Arabidopsis thaliana: one gene and its partners. The protein of the gene in region 2 interacts with the protein of the main gene of each other region in a pairwise test. Each region holds a gene or a part of one and is shown on either strand. Other genes may lie near its edges.

What was found.
Region 1: the proteins of BRCA2(IV) (region 2) and DMC1 interact in binary tests that used the Arabidopsis thaliana proteins (3 or more experiments, as listed by UniProt).
Region 3: the proteins of BRCA2(IV) (region 2) and DSS1(V) interact in a two-hybrid assay, tested with the Arabidopsis thaliana proteins (one study listed by BioGRID).
Region 4: the proteins of BRCA2(IV) (region 2) and RAD51 interact in binary tests that used the Arabidopsis thaliana proteins (3 or more experiments, as listed by UniProt).

What each region holds. Positions count from the first base shown.
Region 1 is NC_003074.8:8,097,147-8,102,759, forward strand, and holds DMC1 (DNA repair (Rad51) family protein), read right to left. Parts: upstream 3,787-5,613; 5' UTR 3,595-3,786; coding exon 3,578-3,594; intron 3,409-3,577; coding exon 3,326-3,408; intron 2,911-3,325; coding exon 2,819-2,910; intron 2,726-2,818; coding exon 2,654-2,725; intron 2,565-2,653; coding exon 2,526-2,564; intron 2,414-2,525; coding exon 2,356-2,413; intron 2,273-2,355; coding exon 2,227-2,272; intron 2,150-2,226; coding exon 2,104-2,149; intron 1,945-2,103; coding exon 1,883-1,944; intron 1,782-1,882; coding exon 1,715-1,781; intron 1,632-1,714; coding exon 1,539-1,631; intron 1,453-1,538; coding exon 1,384-1,452; intron 1,300-1,383; coding exon 1,221-1,299; intron 1,113-1,220; coding exon 946-1,112; coding exon of another isoform or gene 934-945; exon of another isoform or gene 893-933; intron 847-892; coding exon 802-846; 3' UTR 532-801; downstream 1-531. Other genes in the region: AT3G22870 (F-box and associated interaction domains-containing protein), read left to right, coding at 1-325. UniProt on the Arabidopsis thaliana protein: May participate in meiotic recombination, specifically in homologous strand assimilation, which is required for the resolution of meiotic double-strand breaks. Mediates interhomolog recombination during meiosis.
Region 2 is NC_003075.7:4,324-12,001, reverse strand, and holds the start of BRCA2(IV) (BREAST CANCER 2 like 2A), read left to right. Parts: upstream 1-1,637; coding exon 1,638-1,791; intron 1,792-1,876; coding exon 1,877-2,020; intron 2,021-2,154; coding exon 2,155-2,316; intron 2,317-2,564; coding exon 2,565-3,539; intron 3,540-3,633; coding exon 3,634-3,758; intron 3,759-3,846; coding exon 3,847-3,973; coding exon of another isoform or gene 3,974-4,001; intron 4,002-4,054; coding exon 4,055-4,088; intron 4,089-4,167; coding exon of another isoform or gene 4,168-4,188; coding exon 4,189-4,290; intron 4,291-4,363; coding exon 4,364-4,549; intron 4,550-4,626; coding exon 4,627-4,708; intron 4,709-4,807; coding exon 4,808-4,858; intron 4,859-4,945; coding exon 4,946-5,027; intron 5,028-5,130; coding exon 5,131-5,242; intron 5,243-5,325; coding exon 5,326-5,397; intron 5,398-6,146; coding exon 6,147-6,345; intron 6,346-6,413; coding exon 6,414-6,596; intron 6,597-6,882; coding exon 6,883-7,025; coding exon of another isoform or gene 7,026-7,029; exon of another isoform or gene 7,030-7,100; coding exon 7,101-7,163; intron 7,164-7,252; and 4 more. Other genes in the region: SD3 (import inner membrane translocase subunit), read left to right, coding at 1-105, 210-368. UniProt on the Arabidopsis thaliana protein: Involved in double-strand break repair and/or homologous recombination by mediating RAD51- and DMC1-facilitated DNA repair. Plays an essential role in both somatic and meiotic homologous recombination.
Region 3 is NC_003076.8:18,166,363-18,170,195, forward strand, and holds DSS1(V) (DSS1 homolog on chromosome V), read right to left. Parts: upstream 2,022-3,833; 5' UTR 1,860-2,021; coding exon 1,769-1,859; intron 1,220-1,768; coding exon 1,089-1,219; 3' UTR 644-1,088; downstream 1-643. Other genes in the region: AT5G45000 (Disease resistance protein (TIR-NBS-LRR class) family), read left to right, coding at 1-384, 475-643; AT5G45020 (Glutathione S-transferase family protein), read left to right, coding at 2,844-3,056, 3,137-3,313, 3,393-3,617, 3,684-3,812. UniProt on the Arabidopsis thaliana protein: Subunit of the 26S proteasome which plays a role in ubiquitin-dependent proteolysis. Also associates with the TREX-2 complex that is required for transcription-coupled mRNA export.
Region 4 is NC_003076.8:7,069,988-7,074,674, reverse strand, and holds RAD51 (RAS associated with diabetes protein 51), read left to right. Parts: upstream 1-1,708; 5' UTR 1,709-1,814; coding exon 1,815-1,910; intron 1,911-2,314; coding exon 2,315-2,459; intron 2,460-2,569; coding exon 2,570-2,680; intron 2,681-2,754; coding exon 2,755-2,846; intron 2,847-2,977; coding exon 2,978-3,072; intron 3,073-3,157; coding exon 3,158-3,271; intron 3,272-3,359; coding exon 3,360-3,489; intron 3,490-3,576; coding exon 3,577-3,698; coding exon of another isoform or gene 3,699-3,762; exon of another isoform or gene 3,763-3,793; coding exon 3,794-3,917; 3' UTR 3,918-4,184; downstream 4,185-4,687. UniProt on the Arabidopsis thaliana protein: Binds to single and double-stranded DNA and exhibits DNA-dependent ATPase activity. Unwinds duplex DNA. Component of the meiotic recombination pathway.

The DNA of each region.
Region 1 (5,613 bases), on a different chromosome or scaffold from region 2:
TTGTACAGGGAGTTTCTTCATTGACGAGGTGAACAAAGTCGCCGTGATTTTCGGGCAACCGTTGAAACGCGACAAAGTTTTCATCATTGGAGAGGCTGGACAAGTCCGAGATGTTGATCTCGGAGAACCTGCCCACCAAGATAGTTGGCTATATGTGTGTCCTTATGTTCCAAGTTTAGTGAAAATCAAGCAACCTCCAGGATGCAAAAGGAGAAGACAAAGCAGTTCAGAAAACCGTCGATATAAGCGAAACATGATGAGACTTGTCGAACTTGAAAAGTATCATATTGCCATGGAACCCAAAAGAGGAGACAAAACAATATGAGAGTTTTGCAGCAATTATGAAATCGATTGATGTGCAGGAAAAAACTGGCAAAGTGAGAAAACGAGATGATTAAAATTATTCATCCCTTTCATTTCTATTTTACGTTACTTAGATGAATAAAAAAGAGAAATTTAAAGAGTTTTTTCATCCACTAAAATAGAGATGAATAAGTTGGAGAGGAATAACACATTATTCAGTGCAACTGATTAATCAATGATCATAATGAACTTTTACTTGTTACTTGTTATAAAGCCATTATTGTCTTTTTACAAACGAACCAGAGTTGTTTTGTTTGCAGCTTTATCAGATACATAGATTGGTTTTGTAAGCCGAATCAAGTAATGATCGTCTTATTTGGTAAACAAGAAACTAAGAATAAAAAGACTTAATTAAAACGTCTGATTCGATGCAGAAACAAGCAGCAAGTTAAGAACAGACATAATTCGTGATTATGACATATAAAAGAGTTCGCTCCTCTAATCCTTCGCGTCAGCAATGCCTCCTTGAGTAATCTGGAAACTGTGATTTCTTCAGTTAAGGAAAAAAATGAAGTCATTGCATTATATGAAATAATCAAAAACAAAGCAAGTGTGTGTGTGTGGATTTGGTTAAAAGGATATGGCTTCAGCTTCAGCGAGATTCGGAGCATCGTAGACTTTGCAGACACGTGTATCGCCTTTGCCTTTCCTGAACAAGAGCCTGATGGTGGCTGCGTGAGCTAGTACATGACCACCTGCTGGCTTTTTTGGGTCTGATATGAACATTCCACCACCTGGGTCAGCTATGACTGCAAACCACCAAATGAAACAGATGATACTTGCTAAGTTAGTGCAACCAAGAAACAAAAAAAGAATTGATGCTTTATCTCATTATATCAAACTAGTGTAAAGTAAACCTTGGTTAGTCATGTAGACAGCAACGTTGAACTCCTCTGCAATTTTGATTAGCCTGGAAAGCATCTGAGCTAGTTTTTGCTGCAACACAGAAACTGGGACTATTGAGCAAAGCCAGATTGTGCCAATGATAATGTAAGTAATGTTGTGGGAGGCAAGTTTAACCTGGCGGTCTGCGAGTTCTCCTCTTCCAGTGAAATCCACTCGGAATAAAGCAATGATCGAGTCAACAATCTGGAAACAAGGTCAGAAAACTCAGCTAATTTAACTCATATTTGAATGGATAACTAAACTAAAATTATCAGACATGTTTTACTTACCAGAATCCTAAATGGTTCCTCAGACATTTTTGCAGCAAGGCCAAGAAGCAAGTTGTACTGATGCTCATAGGTATAAGCACGAGCATAAATGATCTGTTATATCAAGATGAATAAGATTTTTGAATGTCAGTCACAGTCCTGAGAGTAAGTAAAGATGTGAGGTTAATAATGCTTACATTGTCAAGCACAGCTCCTGGATCCATTCCAAATCTTTCAGCAATTGGGACAATCCTATCAGGACGGCTACAAAATTTAGGGGTTAAGGAAAAATCATGGAATATAGAAACAATCTAATGAAGACACAAGATCTGGTCAGAAGATTTGTTATAAGATATTAAGGATACAAGGTTCCCTCTGTGTCAATGTATGCCACTTTTCCATTCCCTCCTTTCATGTTTGTAGGTAGCTGTAATACATCAATACAGAAAATGAATACCAATGACATTGAGAGACAGAGTACCTCAATGGTTTATATGCTGAAAGAAAGTAAAATCTCATCTCATGCCTCTGAAATGTAAACAAGACAACATATATTTCATATTGAGACTGTAGGAAAGAAACCAACCTGCGTAGTGACACAAAGGGTATGTGCTAATTGGGTTTTCCCAGACCTGAAGTGAAATTAAACTCTATAAGAATACAAGCTATTAACAGGAAACTTATAGAGCTTGGCTCAGCTGTTTCTCACCTAAATTCCCCAAAAGCCTCTGTGATGGCTGAGGTTTCAATTCCACCTAGCAAGAAATGTGAAATAATTAAACCAGAACTTAAGTAGTGTGATCAAGATGGCAAAAATCTAAAGCAAAACTTAGCATACCTCCTAAGAGATCATCGAGAGCTTGACACCCTGTAGTGATTTTTACAACTGATTTCCTCTGTAAACAATTAAAAAACAACTTGTAAGTTTCAATATCTAATATGAAATGTTGAATAGGATATCAAAATCTAATAGTTCTGTTAGTGGGATCAAGCAACAATGAGTCTAACCTTTATAAGAGCATCACTTCCAGTCATATATCCAAAGTTCTGAAGGAGAAATGGTTTGACAATTAAAATGACGCAAATGCAGAAAGTAACACTGATATAGCAACAACAGATGGAAACGTTAAACTTACCACAATTTTCTCAGCAGCTTCACAGATTTTGTCAACTTTGGCCTCAGATAAACCTTTGATTCCAGTAAGGTTCTGCATCAAACATAAGTTTAAACAATCGACTCATGCAACCAACATCTACATAGTATAAACCCAATGAGCAAAGCTAAATAAGCTGGTTAATACCTTCTTGGTATGCATCATGAGACCATTGCAGGTATGGATCCCAGCTTCTTGTAGCTTTTTCACATCTCCTGCGTTTATACCTTGTGCGATCACTGACACAAGCAAAAATAAAAGTCCCGAGATCAAATCAGCTAGAGATTTTAGCCAGATACAGAAATCAAACAACTATGTACACTAATATACACTCGAATTCCACAAACAGTAAACGAAATGGACCATAAACTATTCGTTACCAAGGAGAACCATGTTCAGAAATCAATATCGATCCTAGATTCATACTTAAATTCGAAATCTAACAGAGATTGCGAGAACATTCCTCAAATTAGATGAACGATTCTAGATCTGATTTCATAAGACCCAGCGATTAAGCAACAACGAGGTTTAGATAAACAAAAGTGGGCGAAATTAGAAGAGATAAACACACAGAGACGATTCCAAAACAGATGATGAAGATTTGAAACGAAAAAGTGAAGAATCGTAAAAGTTGAAAACGAATTCAAATCTTACATTTGTCAATCATCTCAAATAGATCTTCGTCTTCATCATTTTCTTCACGCTCAACGAGCTGCATCTGGCTCGTTTCTTCAGCTCTATGAATCCGAAACAACACAAACAGATCAGGATCATCGGAAAACAAAATAAAAACGAGAAGAAGCGAGTCAGGTACACAAAACTTAAGACAAAGCTTAAACCAAAACGATGAATGGAGAAGAAGAAGAAGAATCGTAGTAGAGAGAAAGAGAGAGATCAATCACTTACTTAAGAGAAGCCATCATTTTCTCGCTCTAAGAGTCTCTAAGCTTGGAAGAGTGAGAGAGATAGAATTTTGAAATTCGAAATTTGAAAATCTTTGCTCGATTTGCTTCGAGGGTTCAAGGTTTTTAATGGCGGGTTACGGAATTGAAAGCGTGATTCTAATTCCGTTGATTTGAATTTGGGTTCCGCAACTGAATTTGTTTTCGTTTGTGTGCTCTTCTTTGTTATACATGACTTTGTTTGATGGCTGCGATAATGCCACGTCATAGTTATCATCCGTCTATCGACGGTCAATAGAAGGAATCTAGGTGAAAAAAAGAGAATATTACACTCTTAAACACTTTTTTAAAACTATTTCTGTGTTTAGGCACTTTCAAAAGATTAGGCACTTTTTTATGTTTTTTTACTAAAATACCCTCTTAACTAAAATATTATCTTAACCCACGTTTTCTCTCTTTCTCTCTCTCTCTTCATCTCTCTCTTTCTCTCTCTCTCTCTCTTCATCTCTCTCTCTCTCTTCACCTCTCTCTCTCTTCATCTTTGTAAAAAATGAGAAGAAACTTCTTCTTCTTCAACAATGGCGGTTTGATTTGATTTTTGCTCTCTCTCATGTGTCAAACTCGTTTCATCTACGTAGCATCGAGATTTCAGTTAATCGAATCTCCTGTTATCATGGACATGTTATATAAAATGGATATAGATCAGTAAAAAGGTTTCCGAATGGATATATTTAAATGGATTCGTTATTATGGACACCAAAAAATTGTTTGTTGATTTTTTTTTCAGTTTGCAGAGACCTCCACCTTCAAAACCTTATGGACATGGAACTTTGGTTTCTTTACAAAACACGGTTAATCGAATCTCCTATTATTATTGACATGGTATATAGAATGGATACGGATCAGTAGAAAGGTTTCTGAATGGATATATTTAAATGGATTTGTTATTATGGATACCAAAAAATTATTTGTAGCAAATCAACCGCATATAGCTTGTTTTTAGGATGTTAGACATGCTTCTCCAATTCTTCATCTTTTACTCTTAACATGTAAGACCAAAAGATTTACAAATCTCACCATATCAATCCATAATATACAATCCATGATGCGTCATCCATAATATGTCATCCATGATTCATCATCCATAATGTGCCATCCATAATTTGCCATCCATAATGGACATCACCAATAACAAACGCCGTAAGAGCTACAAACACATCCTTAGCCACCAATGAAGATTTACCAAACACAAATAATTCCAATGAACAAGATTTCAACAAGAACACAAATTCTTTTTAAGAAAACACAAATAACCCTAGTCATACAGAATTACTCGCCAAATCAATGAGAACACAAATGCCTTGTAATAAATCACAAATAACCCTAATCATCTAGAATTAGTCGCCAAATCTTACTTAAATTAGATCCATCTTGATATCTCTTCTAATCTATGTTGTATGCTTAGTTGTTTCCTATTGATTCCCAACTTGATTAAAAACGAAATCACCAAACATAGCCAAAGAATTCGCCAGAACTCCATGACACTCTTCCGTAGCCAAAGAATCGTTCATCATAAACAAACAATCAAATTTTTTTAATCCATGGAAAGAAATCACAAACCTGTCCAACACAAGGAGATCCTCCTTCGTCTAGAGTAACCATAGGAAAAACCTCCATTTACTACTATTATCATGTTCATGAGGAAAGTTGTGTGGATTAAAGAACTTCACAGAGAATAATCGATTAATTTCATGAGAAACGATTTTCAACATCTCTCTGCTTCGTTTTTAAACTACTATGGATTTATGAAAAAACGATCTTCAGGAAGGAGAAAGGGAGAAACGATTGTTTTTTTAGAGAGAGAGATTTAGTTCTAGAGACGAAGAGAAATACCTTTTTCTAATCAGATTTTAACATCAAAAAATTAATCCATTTATTGTCTTTAATCTCAGCCATAGATCTTAATTTTTATTTTTCAATCTAATGGTCTATATTAATAACTACGTATCTAAATTCTTTTATTTTTTTAATTGTTTGGTT
Region 2 (7,678 bases):
GGATCCCCCATCAAAGGCTATGGACAAGAAACTAGAAACCGAGCTGCTCGTCAACGTATACCCAACAGAGTATTTACAGATGAAGACGGAGTGGAGCATGTTGAGGTATTTCATTGTAGAACCTCTATTGCGCTTGGATTCACATTCTTGCTATATAAATTGTCTAGAGTTTTGCAGGTTTAACATGATCAAAATTGAATATGCTTCAGGTAAACTTCTACATCCGTGGGCCTCAAGGAGCAGGGAAAGTGTACACGGAGATGTTTAAAGACAAGGCAGAGAAGGAATGGAAATACACGTACCTGATCGTAGAGATTTTAACACCTTCCCCAGCCAAATTGATGCTGGAGTCTTATTTGCCTGCCTAAAGCACTCGTATTTATGACTCAGCAGATCCGGAAAACATTCAGAAACGGCTTAGATTGTTTTAGTTGGGGTGTTGGAGAAAAGAGAGAGAATTGTGTTACACATGAGCTGTAGGAATGACTTCTTATCAAGCAACTGTTTGCTAATTGAAAAACAAGTCTAAACTGTGTTTATGATCCTCTTGGGGATGTCTAGGATTTTGAACCGAATTCAAGTTTGAGGCTTGATAATATTTTTATGCGTAAACATGAAACAGAGACATGGAGAATGCATATATCATGAAGCATCAAGTATACAATAGAGGCAATCATGGATCAAACGGTGTTTATGGTATCAGTAAGACAGCGGAGAATGCAACCGGGACCAACTCTCTCTCTGAGTTTCCCCGAGCCATCAAGGCTACAAACATCTCGACTACAAGGGCCAATCAAATTACATAATCACGGAAAAAACAAGGATAGATACAAGCAAACCTAACACTCGAGCAATAATTTGAGTAATAGAAACAAGAAACCAGAAATCGAAACGAAACGGAACGAAACACAAGATTTCCTAATTAATCTTGTGTTTAATTAAGAAAAGAAAACACAAAAAAGTTGAAAGGTTTAGTGGTGCATCCACGTAGCAAGACATTTTAGGTGTACGTCGACCATATTGTTGGCCGTTTATAGAGCATCATCCACTCTCCTCGACGAGCAAGATCATGCCGCCTCTGGATTCTTCTCATTCATCGGTGTTCCTGCGATCCCCTCCGTAGCACCCTCCGCCTCCTCAGCGCCTTCCCCGTGTAAATTACCGTTCTGCATGTTTAGAAATTTGACGTGGAAATTGTTGCAATGTAACTTTCTGTGATACTTGGCTATTGTTGCAATGTAATTTTCATTGAAGTCAGTCACCAATGACCATTGAACAGATGTTTTAAAATGTCCACGTAAGCAATTGTTGTTTGGAACGATTTTCGGTTAGCATTCGTGCCTTTTTTACCTCAATAAAAGGCCGTGGCATTAACTCACTTGTCTTGAGACGTTATGTCGTTAAAACCAAGCCCAAAGTTAATTTCGGCCCAAATCGTTTTCAACTTTCCCGCCGTCTTTTAACTTTTTAGATTTTTGGTGATGGTTTTGGGGGGAAAGAAAACAGAAAATATAAAAATAAAATTTCCGCACTCCCGACTCTTGGTGTGGTAGGCAATTCTGAATCGCGAGGTTTAGTTCTCCGGCTGAATCAGAGAACGACGAGTCGGAAAAATTCGAAACTCTAGAACTGAATAAATGTCGACGTGGCAATTATTTCCCGATTCCAGCGGCGATGGTTTCCGGTGGGAAGTCGCTGGCCGGATTCTTCAGTCCGTCTCGGATTCTACGCCAACCAAGGCGCTCGAATCGACAGCTCCTCTACCTTCTATGGCCGATCTCTTGCTCCAAGGTGATTCTTCGTTTCTTCCTTTTTTTGTCGAATCGTGTTTGTCATGTGACTCAAAGGAGATTGAATTATTATTTGATGCTTCAAGGATGCTCGAAGCTTATAGCACGGGAAGAAGCGATGCCTGGGGAAATCCCAATGTTCAGGACTGGGCTAGGGAAGTCTGTAGTTCTTAAAGAGTCTTCGATTGCTAAAGCCAAATCCATTTTAGCAGAGAAGGTTACTTACTCAGGTACTTTATGTGACAGTATTGAATTCCCTTGACTAGTCATTTGTTTCTGAATTCCCTTGAATTGTTACTTAATGTTGGTGAAAATGGTTTCCTGAAAATCTTTTGAATGTTCCATGTTCTTGGCTACACTTTAGATTTGCGGAACACAAATTGCTCAATTCCCCAAATGAGACAAGTGGATACAGCTGAAACTTTGCCAATGTTCAGGACGGCCTCGGGGAAATCTGTCCCTTTGAAAGAGTCTTCAATTGCCAAAGCTATGTCTATTCTAGGAAGTGATAAGATTATTGACTCAGGTGTGTTCTTATCTCCTCTTTTTTAAAGTCTTATTTCCAGTATAGCTGTGTGCGCGTTTACATATGAACTTGTTCTTTGTGCTGCTACTCCGTTCAACTTCCAGGTTCTTGAGTTTGGTTGTTATCAGATGAAATGATGAATAGTGAAGAACTAATCAACACACATCTTACTTCGTTTAGAGGATGAATATTAGAAGTGACATTTTTTCATAGTTTATTTGTTAATAAGATTCTTTTTGATTGTGTAGACAACGTTCTTCCCAGGGAGAGTGGATTTGGAGTTTCCAACAGTCTTTTTCAGACAGCTTCCAACAAAAAGGTTAATGTATCTTCTGCCGGTTTAGCAAGGGCCAAGGCATTGTTAGGACTAGAAGAAGATGATTTGAATGGATTTAACCATGTGAACCAGTCGTCTTCTTCCTCCCAGCAACATGGGTGGTCCGGATTAAAAACTCATGAGGAGTTTGATGCTACAGTAGTTAAGCATCATTCAGGAACTCCAGGACAATATGAGGATTATGTATCTGGGAAGAGATCTGAAGTCTTAAATCCATCTTTAAAGGTGCCTCCAACAAAGTTTCAGACTGCTGGTGGAAAATCATTGTCAGTGTCAGCTGAGGCGTTAAAACGTGCCAGAAACCTTCTTGGTGACCCTGAATTAGGGTCTTTCTTTGATGATGTAGCTGGAGGTGATCAATTTTTTACACCAGAGAAAGATGAAAGGTTAAGTGATATTGCTATAAACAATGGAAGTGCCAACAGAGGTTATATTGCTCATGAAGAAAAGACAAGCAACAAACATACGCCAAATAGTTTTGTATCTCCTCTTTGGTCATCTTCAAAGCAATTTAGTTCAGTCAACTTGGAGAACCTAGCTTCAGGGGGTAATTTGATCAAGAAATTTGATGCGGCTGTTGATGAGACCGATTGTGCTCTGAATGCTACACATGGACTATCAAATAACAGGTCTTTGGCATCAGATATGGCAGTGAATAATTCCAAGGTAAACGGTTTCATTCCAAGAGGTAGGCAACCTGGAAGGCCTGCTGATCAGCCACTTGTTGATATAACAAATCGCAGAGATACAGCTTATGCATACAATAAACAAGACAGTACCCAAAAGAAAAGGCTGGGAAAGACAGTCTCCGTTTCTCCTTTCAAAAGGCCAAGGATTTCATCCTTTAAAACTCCTTCAAAGAAACATGCTCTGCAAGCTTCAAGTGGTAATATATATGATTAATTTTTTTAAGAATTTTTTATGTTAATCTAATTGGTTGGTTCTCAGGTTTATAGTTTTGGTGTCCTGTCTATTATCAGGTTTGTCTGTTGTATCGTGTGATACACTTACTTCCAAAAAGGTGCTTTCTACAAGGTATCCAGAAAAGTCTCCAAGAGTATATATCAAGGACTTTTTTGGAATGCATCCAACAGCTACGACCAGGGTAAATTCTTTTTGTCCCTTTCAACTGTTCCTGCGTTACATAGCTTTTTTCTTCATTCACTCAAACACACTTACGAGGTGGTTTTTAGATGGATTATGTGCCAGACCATGTCAGAAGAATCAAATCAAGTAATGCAGATAAATATGTATTCTGTGATGAGTCTTCTTCAAACAAGGTTGGAGCTGAAACTTTTCTTCAAATGTTGGCTGAGTCTGGTGCTTCCTTACAACATGCATCCAGAAAGTACTTTCTCTGTCCCTTGAAATGTTAACCGTGTTATTTGTTTATTATATCAGAAAAAGTGTGTGACCGTTCTTTTGAAGCTTGCATGTGATTGTCACTCTATTAGATAGACAGTGAGTATTGATGTCTATATCTATTAACTTATCCATCACTACGTATGCACTAGGTGGGTCACTAATCACTATAGGTGGATAGTCTGGAAACTTGCATGCTACGACATATACTACCCAGCCAAATGCAGAGGAAACTTTCTGACAATCACCAATGTTCTTGAGGAACTAAAATACAGGTTTCCCAGTCTCACAACACAACTCGTTACTTAAACTCATGCAAAGTCTAACATGGTTAATCTTTCTTAATAGATATGAGAGAGAGGTCAATCATGGTCATTGCTCTGCAATCAAGAGGATTCTGAGTGGTGATGCTCCAGCTTCTTCAATGATGGTGCTCTGCATATCAGCTATTAATCCAAAGACCGATAATGATTCTCAGGAAGCACATTGTTCTGATAGTTGCAGCAATGTGAAAGTAGAACTCACTGATGGGTGGTATGAAATTGCTACTGCTATTCTGTTACCTGTTTTCTTGACTCATTTCCATATGATTTTTTTTAAAAAAATCACAGGTACTCGATGAATGCTGCTCTGGATGTCGTACTAACAAAGCAGCTGAATGCTGGCAAATTGTTTGTCGGGCAGAAGCTTCGAGTAAGTTATTTTCATGCAAGATATACTTTGTTTTGCAACACAGATTTTGGTTAGATCACTGACTTGCAGCATGCTTACGTTCTTATCTCTTATCTGAAGATCCTCGGGGCAGGACTTTCTGGCTGGGCTACCCCAACATCACCACTTGAGGTTTCCTAGACTTTGCATTTTATAAGATTTTCTGATATCTTCTCAGGTTGGTTTGTTCATAAGAGTTTCATTCAACCAAACTTTCAGGCAGTGATTTCAAGTACAATCTGTTTGTTGTTGAATATTAATGGGACATACAGAGCTCACTGGGCGGACCGACTAGGCTTCTGTAAGTAGCTTTATGCTGTGGGCCTCACTACATCATCTGAGTTCTTATTGCTTTCATATTGTTATCTTTCCATTGATCGTTTATAATCTCTTCCTTCCTCAAGGTAAAGAAATTGGTGTCCCTCTGGCTTTAAATTGTATCAAGTGCAATGGGGGTCCAGTGCCTAAAACGCTAGCTGGCATCAAACGAATATACCCCATCCTATACAAGGAAAGGTCAATATAAATGTGTGCCTGTTAATGCATTTTGGTCTTCTTTATACTTCTCGCAAAGCATTATATTTTCTTGATGTATACAGGTTAGGTGAAAAGAAGTCAATAGTTCGATCAGAGAGAATAGAAAGTAGAATTATACAGCTGCATAATCAGAGGCAAGTTTCCTTATAACTGTAGAGAGCAATTTTTAGTAACATTGATGTGATCAATTTAGCACATGCATCTCTTTCTAAGAAGTGTCAGATTAACTCATCAAAGCTAGAGACATTTTGTTACATACAACAATTTGGTGGCGTCACCAAGTTGCAGCCTTGAACCATTTGCTCTTTTCATTTTAAATCCTAACATGTTATAGAGCATATAATTATAATTATCATGCGCAAATCGGCATGTATCAATTTAGTTATATTTATCATGTGCAATTGTGCATGTATCAGTTTACATACATTATATTATCATGCAGATTATGGGAATCTTAGCGGTTCAAACGTCTTAAAGTACTGCATAACTACATATAGTTTGACTATACATAACTACTTATTTATGGCTATGATCGTAAATTTTAGTATAAATGCAATATTCACTGTTAGAATACGATATTCAAATTCGTTTTCAGAATTCAGAGAACAAAAAGTAGATAAAGTGACCTTGGTTTATGTTGTTTTGGTCAAATTTATCGTTTATAAGTTTGCTAGCTAATGTTATACTATTTGCTAACATATAATTAAATGTTGAGTGCTAATCTCGAATTTTTTATTAGAAAAGACAATCTTTGTATTTATTAGAAAAGCTTCTGGCCTTCTGATTATGGATGGTTTTCCCAACAAAAGAGCCAAAGATTGCAGTTCGTCATGGTTTATTCTCATTCATACTTGCCTTTTTTTTTTCTTTCTATTTTCCGTAGGCGCTCAGCTCTTGTTGAGGGTATTATGTGTGAGTACCAGAGAGGAATTAATGGTGTTCACAGCCAGAACGACACTGACAGCGAAGAAGGAGCCAAGATCTTTAAGCTGTTAGAGACGGCTGCTGAACCTGAATTTCTTATGGCAGAAATGAGCCCAGAGCAGTTGAGATCTTTCACTACATATAAAGCAAAATTTGAGGTAGAATAGTAATTTCCTTTTCTTGATATATTGATTACAGTAATTAACTGCTTCAATCTGAACCTCAGGCAGCCCAGCAAATGCGGAAGGAAAAATCAGTGGCAGAAACTCTGGAAGACGCTGGTTTAGGTGAAAGGAACGTCACCCCGTTCATGAGGATTAGGCTTGTTGGCCTGACGAGCTTAAGTTATGAAGGAGAGCACAATCCAAAAGAAGGCATTGTAACAATCTGGGATCCCACGGAGAGACAGGTACATTCAAATGCCTAAATCTGAATGTTTCATGCACAATTTAAAACAAGGCATTTTTCTAATGGCTAATAAGTTTACACGGACCTTATCCATATGAGCTTATATGGAACGGGGAGTTCCAAATATAAGCTTTTCAGAGTTGCTGTGGACCTCGAATGGACTGAAATGCATATCAAAGAATCGTTACCATCACTGTACTGTTGCATTAAGAGCATCATCGATTAGCTTGTTCAACTTTTTTCTTGTAGATTCTTAAAACAGTTATCATTGTCTACTACTGTGACAGAGAACCGAGCTGACAGAGGGGAAAATATACATGATGAAAGGGCTAGTACCAATAAACTCAGATTCAGAAATACTTTACTTACATGCGAGAGGGTCAAGCTCAAGATGGCAGCCTTTGTCTCCTAAAGATTCTGAAAATTTTCAGTAAGTGGTTTTCTTTAGTAGACACACTGGAATCTATCTCATTAATTTGTTCAATTTCCCTGATGATGTTTTCAGGCCCTTTTTCAACCCTCGTAAACCAATCTCTTTGTCAAATCTTGGTGAAATTCCTCTTTCAAGGTTAATCTCAGTAGTCCAAGCTTTTTATGAAACACTCTTTACCGCACTTTGCTAATCTATACCCTGTCATCTCTAATTATGTCCTTCAGTGAATTTGATATCGCTGCGTACGTTGTATATGTTGGAAATGCATACACGGATGTTCTACAAAAGAAGCAGTGGGTGTTTGTGACAGATGGATCCGCACAACATTCAGGGGAAATCTCAAACAGTCTTCTTGCTATAAGCTTCAGCACCTCATTCATGGATGATAGCTCTGTTTCCCACATCAGCCATAATTTGGTTGGATCCGTGGTATGTACAAATTCTAATCTTTGTCTAGTTTTACACAGAGAGAATATGCACCAAGAGATTAAATTTTGAAAAATATATGCTTGTTATGGGTCTTAATTTTTGGCAGGTCGGATTTTGCAATCTAATTAAAAGAGCAAAGGATGTGACAAACGAAATTTGGGTTGCTGAGGCAGCAGAGAACTCAGTCTACTTCATAAACGCAGAAGCTGCCTACTCTTCTC
Region 3 (3,833 bases), on a different chromosome or scaffold from region 2:
GGCTTTGAGAGACTCAGGGATCAATGTCTTCAAAGACAGCTTCAAGCTTATAGGAAGTGGACAAAAACAAGAAGTGTTCATGAGTATAGAGAACTCGAATATCGCGCTTGCCATCTTCTCAAAGAGGTATTCTGAGTCATATCGGTGTTTGAACGAGCTTGTGAAGATGGAAGAGCTTGCCAAGGAAGGAAAACTCGTGGTCATTCCAGTCTTCTACAGTGTGAAAACAAACGAAGTGAGAAGACTTGAGGGAGAGTTTGGAATACATTTTAGAAACACAAAAGAGAGATTTGCTATGGAACCAATGATGGTTGAAAGTTGGGAAAAATCCTTGAAGTCATCTACTGTTACAGGGAGGATTGGCTTGAGCTTGGAAGCACACATGTAATAGAATATTTAATAGAACTCTTGTTTTGTAGTAAGATCGACTTTGTGGTAAGGTCGTCTAATCAGTTTCTTTCACTCATTTTGCAGGAACGAATTTGCTCTTGTCGGTGCCATTGTTAAAGAGGTTACAAGATTACTACCAAACTCTCCAAAGAAGAAGAAGAAGAAGAAAATTAGGTATTGGAGAAGTTTTCTTGAGGGCTTTGACTGCTACATTTATCTTTGCTGTCTTCATATACCCTATGCCTATGCCTGATGTGAACTTTTTGAAAATTGGTAAGTTGTTATTAGGCTTTCCGTTTTTGGTTGTTGTCTTGCACAAGATTTTATGTTAATATTAGAAACAAAATGATGTTTTCTCGCTTCTGGCTTGTGGACGCTAACACTATATGTAATGTTGTGACGCACATCAGCTATGTCTATTTGAATGTTATCTCTACGGTTATTTTGTGATGTACATAGTAAACCAATCCATGTCCACACCGCACTGTGTTGAGAGAAGATGGTGATTATCAGAATAGAATTACTATCAGCTCAAATTTATCATCTTCAAAGACGAGAAATTTGCATCCAAGGAAGAGTATAATGTGTAAAGGAAAAGGAGAACCGATACATGCTACGATAAACCAAAGGATGCAATTCAAACAAAAAAGCCAAGGTTCCCTAAATGAGAAGACCTGCCTTTCTCGCAATCTTGGACCTCATTTCTTCTCACTAGCATTCTCAAGCTCCTTCTTTAACTGACGCGAGAAGTCGTCACTGACATCATCATCATCCCAGTCATCTTCCCACTGCAGGCTAACTTCCTTCACTTCCTCTTTCTCCAACCAATCTGCCAAACATAACAATAAAAATATCCATCTTTATCAATTCTTTCAATAAAGCTATTTGTTAAATCTCAAGACTGAACTAACATTGCAAAGCAAAATCTGTTAAAATCAGAAACTGATCCTAGCTTAAGTTGAATTGTACAACTCTCCCCCAAGCTACTCAATGCCCCCAAATAATTCCTAAATCCACCATAACCTTTAGGCCCTTTAGCTCATGAAGCCTTGCCGATTAATAATGCAAACATAATCACCAGTAGTTTGCTCATAAAACTGCACTATTATCCATCAAGTTTATGAGACCGTAGCTTCATCATCATAAACATATATCAAACAGATCCGTTTTCGCATCAGAACTACCCAACTTCATACAATAGAGACTATCTTAGTTTGTATAAGACAGTGCAGAATCAAAATTTGTATTTATACCAAAACCTAATCAATCACCAAATCAGTTGCTAATGAAATTTGCTCTTATCTCCATTAATTTTATAACCGATGATGAATCAATTTCGAAAATCAAAGAAGCAATTAGTATAAAACAAAAAAATCACCTTCGTTGATTTCAAATTCCTCGAACTCATCGTCGTCCTCGAATAGATCCACCTTCACCACTTCGACAGCTGCCTTGGGTTCTGCCGCCATAGTTACAGATGTTTAAGCAAATCAACCAGATCGAGAAAAAAACCTAAGAAGAAGATCACCAAACTCGATTAATTCCTCCAAGTTAAACCCAACCAGAGCTCTTTAAACGAACCTTTTTTTCGTTTTGGGTCTAACTTGAAGAAGGGGAAAATTACCAATTTCCAATAACCGACCCGAATCTTATATGATTCATACCGAATCCGACCCGAATCTTATATGATTCATACCGAATCCGACCCAATATTAAAAATATCCGATTGAGGTTTAAAAGAAGCTGTTTTAGACCGGTCCAATAGTCGCATTCGTCTTGACCAAATCCATGACATACAAACCGGTCCAAAAGTTGTCACGCTTTCCCCACAGAACCCAGCTGAGTCAACTCGTTAGTCTGAGTTAACTCGCTAGGCGTGACAGAGCAGTGAAGACAAAGCAAAGTCCTTTTTCGGATTCCTTCTCTTTCACTATAAGATGACATCCCTCATTACCATTTTTCCTTAAAGCTCACTTTTTCTTCTTTAACCTTATCGCCACAAAACAGCGACATTCGACGCCAAATACATAACATCGTCGTCAACAGGTTTTGTCTCTTATCTTCTTCTCTGCATGAATCATGTTCTTGTTAGACATTTTCTGAGTTCTGGGTTTGATTTTGGCCCAATGATCCATAAATGTTGAAAATCATATTTGAAGGCTATGAATTATGAACATTTTATTTTAACCTTTTTCTAGCTCTAATGAGATAATTAAGTAAAACCCTACTCGAAATTTCTGAACTTTTTGATGCTTTGATTCGTTTCCTGTGATCCTTTACCTAGAGAAAATTGAGATTGATTATGTGACAAGTGACCATCTATAAGAAATCTCTCAAAGTTTTCAACTTTACTCACTCTATTGAGGTGAAAAAGAAAAATTGTGCATTCTGAAATTTTTATTCTTTTCGTTTGTCATGTGAATTTTCGTGTTTGATTTTTTATTAGTAGCAAAATGGCTAGGTCTGGGGTTGATGAGACATCAGAATCTGGAGCTTTTGTAAGAACAGCATCAACATTCCGCAACTTTGTTTCACAAGATCCTGATTCTCAGTTTCCAGCTGAATCAGGAAGATACCATCTTTACATATCTTATGCTTGTCCATGGGCTTGTAGATGTCTTTCTTACTTAAAGATCAAAGGACTTGATGAAGCAATCACCTTCTCGGTTAGTACAAATTCATTGCTCATATCGAATTAGAAGACTTTGTTAACCTGAAGCATTTCTGTTTTATTTGATTTGATTAGTCGGTTCATGCCATTTGGGGAAGAACCAAGGAAACTGATGATCATAGAGGATGGGTTTTCCCGGATTCGGATACCGAGCTCCCTGGAGCTGAGCCTGACTATCTTAATGGTGCCAAAAGTGTGAGAGAACTCTACGAGATTGCTAGCCCAAACTATGAAGGGAAGTACACTGTTCCTGTAAGTTTTGATCTCTTTGGTGAACTCTTTAATCTTTCTTTGTCCTGTTTCTTGAATGTTTGTTTTGTTATTATGTTAGGTTCTTTGGGATAAGAAGCTTAAGACTGTTGTTAACAATGAGAGTTCAGAGATAATCCGGATGTTCAACACTGAGTTCAATGGTATTGCGAAAACCCCGTCACTTGACCTTTATCCTTCTCATCTCAGAGACGTAATCAACGAGACTAACGGATGGGTTTTCAACGGAATAAACAACGGTGTTTATAAATGTGGGTTTGCAAGGAAACAAGAACCCTATAATGAGGTATATATCCCTCAATGTCTTAAACATTTGAACAGGGATTCAAAAATTGATCCCTTTTCTCTCCAGGCAGTGAACCAGTTATATGAAGCAGTAGATAGATGTGAGGAAGTACTCGGAAAACAACGATACATCTGCGGAAACACTTTCACTGAAGCAGATATCCGATTATTCGTCACTCTCATAAGATTTGATGAGGTATATGAGTCAACTTGTCTT
Region 4 (4,687 bases), on a different chromosome or scaffold from region 2:
GTTTTAGCTAGCAATTTTTCATCCTGAATAAAACAAATTTTGACCAGTTTTTATATATAATTCTTTAGCAACTGAATTTTTTTTTTAAAAAAAAATTCATGGTTTAATTTGTTTGTGAATATTTTTTTTAAAATAATTTATGTGATTTCTAAATAAGTAAACAATTGACTTAAATATATTAGATTTCTTAGCAAGAAAAAATTGATGAAATAAATAATTTATAATTTTGAACTTATTAAATCAATAAAGGTCCATAGCTCAGTGGTAGAGCAATTGACTGCAGATCAATAGGTCACCGGTTTGAACCTGGTTGGGCCCTATATTTTTTCAATTTACCAATAATTTTTTAGAAGAGCTTTAGTTATATATTTGATTAGCATTTAGCATCAAGTAGTTGACTAATCTTATATTTCAACGTTTTAGCTAGCAATTTTTCATCTTGAATAAAACAAATTTTGATCAGTTTTTGTATATAATTCTTTAGTAACTGAATTTTTTTTAAAAAAAATTCATGGTTTAATTTGTTTGTGAATTTTGTTTTTTAAATAATTTATGTGATTTCTAAATAAGTAAACAATTGACTTAACTATATTAGATTTCTTAGCAAAAAAAAATTGATGAAATAAATAATTTACAATTTTGAACTTATTAAATCAATAAGGGTCCATAGCTCAGTGATAGAGCAATTGACTGCAGATCAATAGGTCACCGGTTCGAACCCGGTTGGGCCCTATATGTTTTCAGTTTACCAATAATTTTTTATAAGAGTTTTAGTTATATATTTGATTAGCATTTAGCGTCAAGTAGTTCACTAATCTTATATTTCAAGGTTTTAGCTAGCAATTTTTCATCTTGAATAAAACAAATTTTGACCTGTTTTTGCATATAATTCTTTAACAACTGAAATTTTTTTAAAAAACTTTCATGGTTTAATTTGTTTGTGAATTTTTTTTTATAAATAATTTATGTGATTTCTAAATAAGTAAACAATTGACTTAACTATATTAGATTTCTTAGCAAAAAATAATTCATGAAATACATAGTTTATAATTTTGAACTTATTAAATCAATAAGGGTTCATAGCTCAGTGGTAGAGCAATTGACTGCAGATCAATAGGTCACCGGTTCGAACCCGGTTGGGCCCTATATGTTTTAGTTTACCAAAAAAAATTAAATATCATCTTGAATAAAGAAAATTGACAAATTTTGTGATATTTGTAATATTTTATTTTTGTTATAATAAGTGATTACTACATTGTTGGAATTGTGGTGGTTCTCGGCGGTCAAACACCTAGGTACCATTTGGTTGACATTCAAACACCTAGGTATCACTCGGCGGTCAAACACCTATTGTTTTTACAAAACGTTAATTTAGTGTTTTAAAAATATATAATTTTAAGTAAAAATAATTTAAAATAAAAAAATAATTTTGAGAATCCATAATTCGATCAACTTTGATAATATCTAACATTTATAATTTCATGCATTTAACTGAAAATTTAAAATTACTATGGTACTTAATTAATAATAAAAATGAGGAGGATTTTGTTGTTGTTTTTGAGTATTTTATAGAATAAGAATTTGGGCTTTAATAGCCTTTAAAGCCCAATATGATCAAGGCCGAGGAAAAGCTGACCCAAACGTAATCGAGACTTGTTGAAGAAGCCTTTGCCCTCATCGTCGTCTTGTATAATAATTTTGGTTGTGGCGCTTCTTTCAATTTGTTTTCAGTTTCGCCATTTCCCTCCACTCTCAAGCTCTCTTTTGCTTCTCTCGCTTTCTCTGGTGACCCGAATCTGCTCTGATTGAGAGAAATGACGACGATGGAGCAGCGTAGAAACCAGAATGCTGTCCAACAACAAGACGATGAAGAAACCCAGCACGGACCTTTCCCTGTCGAACAGCTTCAGGTTCAATTTCTGCAGATTTCTTTCATTTGTTGTGGAAATTTACCTTCGCAGTCTATACGCTTCATCAGATCTTGCGCTAATTGAAATGGGTTCGGCTTTAATTCACTAAAAATTTCTGCTTTTTTTGTACATCGCGATGTGAAATAGGTGTGAATCTGGGCGAGAATTGAGTTTCGCTACTGTCTGTTAGGCGAATTGGTTTTAGGGGTTCGTTTAATTCAGAAAAAAATCGACACTTTTTGGGGGTTTTATCCTTTTCTGGGGAACTTCTCTATTGCTGTGACTCCAGTGTCATATAATCTCTATAGTTCTTCTCAATTCGTGTTCATAAAAGGGAGATGCATCAGTGTGTTTTGTGTTATGATTATATGCTATTTCATCTCTTTAAATCTTCAAAACTTCAGGCAGCAGGTATTGCTTCTGTTGATGTAAAGAAGCTTAGGGATGCTGGTCTCTGTACTGTTGAAGGTGTTGCTTATACTCCGAGGAAGGATCTCTTGCAGATTAAAGGAATTAGTGATGCCAAGGTTGACAAGATTGTAGAAGCAGGTATTACACATGTAGAAACTTTTTGCTTTCCTTCTCTGTTAAATACATAACACCTCTTTGATACTCTTAGAGTTAATGTGTGTTCTTATTTGTGTTTTCTTCTGTGATAGCTTCAAAGCTAGTTCCTCTGGGGTTCACTAGTGCGAGCCAGCTCCATGCTCAGAGACAGGAAATTATTCAGATTACCTCTGGATCACGGGAGCTCGATAAAGTTCTAGAAGGTTGGTGCTGGTTTCTGGTGCATCTTATAACGGCATTTTGTTATTGTGATCTTACTTTGCCGTATGCTCAACAGGAGGTATTGAAACTGGTTCCATCACAGAGTTATATGGTGAGTTCCGCTCTGGAAAGACTCAGCTGTGCCATACACTGTGTGTGACTTGTCAAGTAAGAACCCTGTTCCTATACCACTCAGTTATTGTTGCTTATCTAGCAGAAATCAGTGATCTTGTCTTTCTTCTTACAATTTCCAAACCTGAGAAAGATATTCACATTAAGGTTCACGTTTGAATGATTAGCTTCCCATGGATCAAGGAGGTGGAGAGGGAAAGGCCATGTACATTGATGCTGAGGGAACATTCAGGCCACAAAGACTCTTACAGATAGCTGACAGGTATGTTATTCTTGTAACACACATGAGATCACAATAGCGTTCTTGAGACGGAATCATCTGTAAGAAATCAAATGAAATGATGCAGGTTTGGATTAAATGGAGCTGATGTACTAGAAAACGTTGCCTATGCGAGGGCGTATAATACAGATCATCAGTCAAGGCTTTTGCTTGAAGCAGCATCAATGATGATTGAAACAAGGTGTGTTGAGTTTATTTTGGTGTTCAGTTCCGTTATGTCTATCATGAGAGTGCTAACTTTTAAAGTTACGATGACCCTATTGGCACAGGTTTGCTCTCCTGATTGTCGATAGTGCTACCGCTCTCTACAGAACAGATTTCTCTGGAAGGGGAGAGCTTTCGGCTCGACAAATGCATCTTGCAAAGTTCTTGAGAAGTCTTCAGAAGTTAGCAGATGAGGTGAACATTCAGTACTAACTGTTTCTTTTCCAATATTGCTCTGAGACACCATCCTGAAGTATTCTCTCTTATGTTTAATGGCTCTAGTTTGGTGTGGCTGTTGTTATAACAAACCAAGTAGTTGCGCAAGTAGATGGTTCAGCTCTTTTTGCTGGTCCCCAATTTAAGCCGATTGGTGGGAATATCATGGCTCATGCCACCACAACAAGGTCTGTAATGTTTGCAAATTCGACAAATCCATGTTTCTTAGTGTTTTTTGTTAGGGTTCGTTAGGAAAGTGTGTTTGTTATGATAATTGATACAGGTTGGCGTTGAGGAAAGGAAGAGCAGAGGAGAGAATCTGTAAAGTGATAAGCTCGCCATGTTTGCCAGAAGCGGAAGCTCGATTTCAAATATCTACAGAAGGTGTAACAGATTGCAAGGATTGATGTTTTTGGCCACAACAATGCCTTGCTTCTCTCTGCCTTATGTGCTTTTTTTTAGCAACCCCTTCACTTGTATTGATGTCAAAAAACCGTTTTCTTTTGTTTTTGTTTTTAACTGTTGATCATAGTGTAAGCGTACAAGTAAGTGATGATGGAGCAAAAGAGCTTTGTAAGTAAAGTTTTTCGGGTAATGAACCTTTTGTGTTTCACAAACGCACACAGCCTCGTGGTTTATACAACACTACTAAATTTTAACCCACGGTATACCGCGGAGACAATTTATTTTTTAAAGTTACTATATATAAAAGTTTGCAAATTATATTTATCGTAAAAATATTTTTATTTTATAGTTTACGATTGTTATTAAGTAACGTCCCGCCAATCCGTCCCGTAAAAAAAACTCACTGATTTTATTTATGATATGTTTATGAATCATTGTCTAAATATTTTTTAATTTTGTAGTAATTAAATGCTATCTAATATCTCTGCGGTTTGATGATTATAATCGAATTATTATAGTCATGTAGAAAAACAATATCAAAATGATAATTTTGTAGTAATTAAATGATATTAAATATTTCGGAAGTTTTATTTTAATAACTAATCGTGTAGTTAATGTGAAGAGATTTTGGGAAGATTGTCAAATATTTAATTCAAAGATTTTCTTTCTAATTATCAAAAACAATTATTAAATGCCAGTGGCAGCCACTGTAAATAAATTCCAACTCTAGGATTTATTTCACAAAGTGGCTGCAAAAATGTATATATAGATA